2 linked regions of the Alligator mississippiensis genome follow. The protein of the gene in region 2 interacts with the protein of the main gene of each other region in a biochemical or structural test. Links are inferred from orthologs where the notes say so. Each region holds a gene or a part of one and is shown on either strand. Other genes may lie near its edges. The genes, in order: TIMP4 and MMP2.

Evidence for each region.
Region 1: the proteins of MMP2 (region 2) and TIMP4 form a complex in vitro, tested with the Homo sapiens proteins (2 studies listed by BioGRID). The link is inferred for Alligator mississippiensis from reciprocal best matches to the Homo sapiens genes MMP2 and TIMP4.

The regions. Positions count from the first base shown.
Region 1 is NC_081835.1:31,311,001-31,314,930, forward strand, and holds the start of TIMP4 (metalloproteinase inhibitor 4), read left to right. Parts: upstream 1-1,624; 5' UTR 1,625-1,815; coding exon 1,816-1,945; intron 1,946-3,930. UniProt on the Homo sapiens protein: Complexes with metalloproteinases (such as collagenases) and irreversibly inactivates them by binding to their catalytic zinc cofactor. Known to act on MMP-1, MMP-2, MMP-3, MMP-7 and MMP-9.
Region 2 is NC_081833.1:46,114,723-46,118,652, reverse strand, and holds the start of MMP2 (72 kDa type IV collagenase), read left to right. Parts: upstream 1-1,509; 5' UTR 1,510-1,691; coding exon 1,692-1,844; intron 1,845-3,930.

The sequences.
Region 1 (3,930 bases), on a different chromosome or scaffold from region 2:
CATCGGCATCCCTGCATCTTACAGCTGCACCTCCAGAAATGTAAAATCTCATCCAATGCACCAAATGCTCTGATGGAAAATACGAAGGAGACACCAAACAACAACTGCGCACCAGAATGAATGCACACTGGAAATCTATCAAAGACAAGAATAACTGCAGGGGCTCATTTCTCGCAAGAAAACCACTCTCTCTCCCATCTCGCAGTTCTAATCCTCAAAGGAAACTTACAAAATACTTCCTAGAGACAAGCCTATGAACTTCACTTCATCAATCTCCTGGATACAAAAAAATCATGGACTATAGACCTTGGATTTATGACACATTATAACCTGCATGACATCTGACTCCCCAGGTACCTCTCCACTATTTAACTGCTATATTCATCCCCCTTTTTTTCCTCTCTCACCCACTGACTTCTCAATTTACTTCTTCACTGACTGCCTGTCTTGCATGCATACCAGACCCGCCTCTGGCTTCTTTACTATTCATTCCATCCAGGAAGAGCACACACCAACTGCAGAGACTTCCTCAGCCTGACGAAGGGTTTTTAAACCTGAAAGCTTGCTAAAAATTTTTTGCCAACTATTTAAGTTGGTCTAATAAAAGATATCAGATTCACCCAAAGAACCTTGTCTGCCTATGTCCTCAGACCAACACAGCAACAAACTACACCCCTGTAGCTTATATACAGGTTCCTCTCAAATGTATAAAAATCACCATCCTCTCTGCTCAGACCTTAATGTGCTGTTCGCATGAGAAACCATCTATTATAAGGGCAGTAGAAATTCACGTATACAGGCTGTGAAAAAAATCCAGCAGATTATAGGAGTAAAAGGTTTGTAGGTAAGAGATGAGGGCTCTTCATTTCTGGAATTAAACTATTTTTTCTATGTGCCTACTGAGTCCAAGGAGCCTATGGACTCGTAGTAGCTAGCAGAAAGGGCATATCTGTTGATTAAGATTCGTAAAATCAGGACGGCAGAATAAGGGGTCCACCCAGAACATTTATCACAGGGATATTTTTGTTGTTATTTCAAATTAAGTGTATGCTGAAGTAGAAAAAAAAAAGGCTTATATTTCTGCTTTTATTTTTAAATTGGTAATGCTTGTAGTGACCAATTGTTCAAAGTTTACATGCATGGCATTGAAACATTTCTCTTTATTCATAAAGTTCTATACAACCTGAAAACAGGGAAGTTATTTCAAGAAAATGTAGGGAGGAACAGGGGAAGATCCAGGGCTGTGAATGTAACCAGAGCTGAAACAAGGATATTAGGATTACTTTTACATATGTTGTTTACGTTGGCCATGATAGGGAAGGTGGCAGAACTTTTTCTTTATTAACATTGGCATGAAGTTTATCAGATTATTTTATTAATCTCTATTCTCCTAAAGAGCAGAAATCAATTGCAGAAATATGAAAAAAGATTTTTTCAAAGCTTTTGATTATTAATAGTCACACTGACTCATAACAACAACATTGTGATGCAACCCACTAAGGTAACATCTCTTTTGGTACAATAAGCCTGTCATACAGTATTTTCACCAATGATGTGCTTTTTCCTTAAAGGAAGGCGGGGTTACTAGTTAGTGTCACAGCCATAAATAAGAGGGTCCTATGTCCAGGAAATTAGAAGTCAGTTATCATTAGCATATACTCGGTCTGAGCATTAGAGGGCTTTTCTAACCATCTAAGTCTGTTGAAATCGAACTTCACAAGGAAGGAATCAGACAGACACTAGGAAATTTAGATGTAAGATCACCAGTAAGAGAATATTTTCTTTAGCTGGCCAGTTAAACGTGGTTAAGGCAGCATGAACTCTGTACTCAGTACCTTGTTGTTTTCAGTGCTGCTTCTTCTGACGCTCAGAATTCAGGAGCTCGTAGAGGCATGCAGCTGTGCCCCTGCACATCCACAGCAACTAATCTGTGATTCCGCTTTAGGTGAGTCATAACAACTATACTTTTAACGTTGTCAGCAAGAAAGTAATTGTAACTAAACTAAGTGCTGTGATATTTTTTGTTCTACTCTCTAGGGAATACATTAAACAAAGTAGATTATTCACTGAAAAGGTTTAAAAGCAGAGTGTTCTTAATTAAAGAGACAGGTATATAAGATAATGCATTTTAAAATGTATCTGATATTTGTTAGTAGCTGTTCTGTTTCCCTTCCTTTTTCAGTAAATATTCTAGACTATATGTTGTTGAGTTAGCTGCTATATTAAATTAGTACTTTTTAAAATGCAAGAAAGAACTTCTATATTAGCTTTCCAAGTGAACAGGAAAAATATTGTCACTGACAAATAATTCCAGCTATGTTAAATATATAGAATGGGAAATTATATATAAAATATGTAGGTACAATATATTAAGCAGAAATTATGTATGTGTGTTTTAGGAATAACTAGCTGCCACAGCTCTGTAAAATCCAGTGAGGATATATATTTAAATCAGTTGATTTGTGATGTACTATAATAAGGTTTGGGTATTTTTCCATTTTGCAACAACAATTTTAGCAGGTAAGTATAGGCCTTTTTATCTATAGACAGATTAGCCACAGGAATTCTGTACTACATTTCACTTTCCAGTCCTAAGATGGCTGTGTTTCATGATATTCAAATCAATATATAGAAAAACTAAAGATCTCAAAATTAGACAACATGGGGATAAAAAAAAGTGACATTTTGTAGTCTTTGATTTCATTAGCTCAAGCTGTGGCTGGTTAGCTTCTATCCTGTGTGAACAGTAAATGTAGAACATGAGTTTCCAAAGTGTCGCAAAATTAGCATCTCTATGGGGTAGGCAATACCTTCTGCATACTGATTAATTGCTTTTATACACTGATAGAAATTCTTTGTAGCCATGACAGACTCTAAGCTCTGTTTATGGCCATCAGTTAAATTGTTTTTTTTAATCCGGTTTTGTTAAGCAATCCTTTTATTAATTTACCTATACCAAACATCCCAGATTAGGGTTATTTGAGGTGTGGAAAGTTCAGGTTACTTACTGCTTAAAAATTATTATACTACACTATTTGTCCTCTGCATTGAAAAAGTTGTTGCAAACACCACTTTTTTCAACAATCAACTTATATTGTTTATTTGACAAACATCCAGCATTAGAAAAAGAACTCAAGATACTTATTACATAAAGTATTCCATTAGGTTAAGGGAAATTACAAGGTTCACATTTCCACAAATATCTTTTATAAACAGGGGATCTCCCTTTTTCTTTGTTATGACTAAGTATTAGGGGCAGAAAATAAAATTACATTGTATTTGATATTGATCCTCAAGCACTTACTAACACACACAGTCCCACTGATATTAAATGGAGCATGAACACAAGGGCCCTTTGTTTGGTGTTTACCACTTGAATTTGCTTTTATAAGTACTGTAAGTAGATACATTTATATACTGAATAAATATCCATATAGATATACATGCTATAATTTCTATAAGCAAAGAGGACTGTTTGGTTTGCTAGAGCAACGATACACCATATAAGCATTGCAAAGTGGCAGGGAAAGACCAGTAAAGAATTCACTGTGGGCTGGGGAAGTCTCTACTGACAAATTTAGCAAAGGTTGTTCTACATTATCCTCCACCCACAATGTAAGAGGAAGGAGATGTACTGGGGGAGTTTTATGGGCAGGGCATTGGAGAATGCTGTTCTTCTCTGCAACACTATTATACGCTGGGGCCAGGTGGATTTGAACCAGGAAGTTAGTTAGCTCCTAGTGGTCAGCCCTTTCCACTCTCTACTAGACTGTCTAACCAAGGCACAGAACATTTTATCCCTTATCAAATACACACACAAGAATACTTTTAATCTGTTTTGATTGAAATATTATTAAATGTTAAAGATAATTTTATTTTAGTGTTTATATAATTCCAGATATTTGTAATAACAAAATGTAGAGCCTGCTG
Region 2 (3,930 bases):
ATATAAACCCTCAGCTCCAATACAGCTACATTAAGCCTCTTTAATTAAATAGGAACAATGGAAATAATAGGGAAATTCAACATTGGTTTTATTTCTTGGCTCTTATTCTTTAATAATTGAATTTGGCTGGATACTAACAGAAGCTGTCATGACAGAATAAGAATGCTGTTCTCCCCTTTTTGGTGTTGTGGAAATACTGGGTCATATTTCCATTGTTCATGTTTATATAAGGTACAGAGACATAGTCTGCATAAACATGAAGTGTTTTCAAAGGAATAGTTAAAGTAGAAGGTGCAATTCCTTACTAGATCTTGGGGGAAGCCATTCATTGTAACATCCAGGTAGCAGTAACTAGTTACTCTAGTTACTTATTTTCAATAAAAAACTGCAATTTCAGCTAAACATGTCATTCCAGGCAGTGGTGCTTTAAGAAAATAATGAAATATCATGCCTTGAGATAACATCACGAGACCTGGCAATACTATGCATGAGGTAATAAAGAGTGCCCGTGATTTGGCCATGTCTATAATAGAAGTTTGCACTGAGACAGCTACACAAAAGAGTAAAATCCCCAGTGTACACAAGACCTGAATTTCTTATGACTGTTAGGAGTTTTAGAAAGCAACTTATTTTTGTGAAATTGGCCTCATTCTCTACCATGCAATGTACAGAGTCAGGCAAGTACGTATCTGTCTGTCTTGCAAGACAACAGAATTATGCCAAGTGAGACAGCTCATTAAAGGTAATCCTTGCTTGAAAGATAAAGCGAAGCTGGAGTGACATCTCCAGGGTGCAAAATCCTGGCAGTGTATACAGAGACACTGAGTTGTCCATACACCAGTATCCCTCTCTCAGCCTAATGTACACAGAGGAGACAACTCTGTGTACTGCTGAATGGTGACAAAACCCCACGTGAGTTAAATAGGTAATCTCAAATGATTGTTGATAGTAGTTTTATAACAAGACTCATAATATATTCTGTGTGTCAGGGAGGGGAGAAAATGAATATGCATTTCCAATTAATCCTGCATTTATGTATCAGTGGTCTGAGTAGCCCAAGCAAAAATATAAAGGAGCATGCTTTGTCTTGTGGACTGGTACGTAGACTACTGCAAAATGTAGCCCCAAATGCTCATTAAAATGCAGTGTAGTATAATGGGATCATGTATGACCAAACAGGTTTTCAAAATTGTGGCACCCCCTCCCCCCCCCAACCTAAAAAATCCCTTAATGCAAATACCTAACCCATAGAAAAATCTGTACATTTGTTTGTTTTTATTTCACTTAATGTACATATAAGATCTTGTCATTAATCTTAGGTGACATTTTGCCCTGAGCCACACTTGTGAAAACAATCTAGAGTTTCCATGCATGAAAAGCAGACAGAATTTGGCCTCTTCCCTATTTCAGCTGCAGTGAATATCTATCTGTGGCTACCTTAAAATCACAGCAAGTAACATCTGGTAACTGCCCTTTTTCTCATGTTTCCACTGGTTTTCAGACCTCCTGGTAGCTGAGACTGCGCATCTGGATGTTTTAAACATACAAAGGAATTGCTAGAGCAGGCAAAAGAGAAAACGGTGCAGAGAGTTAAGATGTGCAGATAAGTAACTGGTGGACTGTGCAGCTAAAATAACTGGCAACCAGTGAGGGAAAAACTTTTTAAAGAGGGTAGTGCAAGCTAAGGCAGAATGAAGACTCATGTTATCTTTACCCCTTTTGGCTTCATTTTTAAAGTACTCTTGATCCAACAGCATATTTTTTACCAAACTTTAGCTGCACCGTCACCAATCATTAAGTTTCCTGGAGACAGCCCTCCTAAAACAGACAAAGAACTAGCAGTGGTAAGTGTTGGTTTTGTCTTTGCTTCAGATTTATATTGTTGTTCACCATAAGCAGATGTTTCTTTCTTGTTTCAGCTGAGGCTAGGAAATGACTGTAGTTTTCTCTCTCTAGAGTCTCTGGAAGGGAGAGCTAGCTAGCAAGGGTATCAGTTTTCAGATATAAAAGCTAGAGCCAAATAATGTTTCCCCTTTTAAAAAAATTTAAGCCAGCATGGAGAGGGCTTTTCTTTTCTCTTTGAACATACAAGAAAAGAATAATTTCATTAAACAGTTCTGACTTTTGTTGAAAGGTTTTAGTAGTAGTATTTAAAGCAAATAAAATGGAATAGAAAAATATGGAAAACACACAATTCTGAGATTCTTTTATAGTCTAAGCTCACACCACTTTTCAAAATGTTGTTTTCCGTGTTGTTTACCATGCATTGCATAAGCACGGCTTTGAGGGACAATTATATCTTAAAGCTGGATAGAGTTTCAGGAAACATAATGACTGGTTCTAACTTTGAAAGACCTTATCAAAGGTTTGATGAAAGATATTTTTCCTAACCCACATTCATTCTGGAACAAAAAAGTGACATTAGCAACTTATGGATGTATAGGATTTTATTCTAACCTTACTTTAGCCCTGTGTACGTTCATAAAAATGACATAATGAGAAAGTCGATTTTAGGGAAGATTGAGATGGATTATTCTTATTTTAGCATGCAAATTATAGACATTTCTCTTCTTCATCACTAACTCCATTTTAAGGAAGATTGAGATAAATTATCCTTGTTTTAACATGTAAATGATCAAAAAAATGGTCACTTCTTTTTTAGGAGATAGTATGCACACCAGGAAAATTTGCTAGGTTTAAGGGAGGGGTGGAGAGTTTCCAAAAGGAGGTGGAGATGTTGGCAAATGCAGGCAAACTGACCCAAAGGAGCAATTTCCACTTTCAAACCTTACCAAACAAACCACCAAAGGTTTTACTGACCTTGGCAACATGACAAGGGGGTCATATATTTCTAACGGTAGTTCAACTGTTCTTAAAATAATCTCTCCATTTTGTTAGATACACAATGAAGTTTTTATTCAATAACGGTAAACCACATCTACTCTTCTCATCTATATTTCATTCAATGAGCCTATTCATTGTTGTGTATATTCCAATGGAAAATCATGTACTACTTCAACATTTCAGTTCTTTGTCTCTCTTGTACTACTCCTGAGTAATGCTAGACTGCTCAGTCTCTTATGCACCCTGGGCCTGAGCAATGCCAAGGTTTAGAAGCAGAACTTAGACCAGCATTTTGCTGCTGGACTCCTTTCAGTCACAGGCTACATCAAAATTGCAGCTTCCCACAATTTTCCACAGAATCTGACAGATCTTTCAGAGCTTGGACCAAGATGTTGTTTGGAGAGATACAAAAACTCTCCTTCAGAACTCTGAAGATATAATAACTGTGTTCATCTCTGTTCTTCACAATGTGTCTCTATTTTAGAAAGTTTCAGATGCATTATTTTGATTTTATATTTTAGCAAATAAATATCTTACTGTGCCTCAGTTCTTATCCCTCAGCTGTGCACCATAGTCCCAAGACTGGAATACATGGCAGCAGATATAACCTGCCAGTTTAGATTTCAAGTAAGCTTTTACTTCCATACAACTCTAGTTATTAAGCCATGACACATATCTGGGAGATAAGGACAGAGGCAAAATTAAGATAGTCATATGTCAAAGGAAAAATCAGGATGATAATGTATTCTGGGCATTGGTATGCATAGAACATATTCTGAGACCATTTCACATAAAGCCAACAGCTCATAACCTGTCACTGATACAATGAACCTTACAGCAGGAAAGTAATATGAAGTTGCCGGGTAAAATAAATACAGTGATCTCTGCCGCCAAAAGCTACCTCAAACCAGGTTGATATTAAACTTCAGAAACTAAACAAAATTTAGTCTTGATAAGGGGAACATCTTCCAGGACTCCAAGATCTTGTTCAAAATCGTGCTTCAGAGGTGTGTATCTGCTTTGCTTCTATGATAGTTCTAAATCAGTTTCCCGGTGGTGGAACTGAGTACTGCATTTCATAACCAT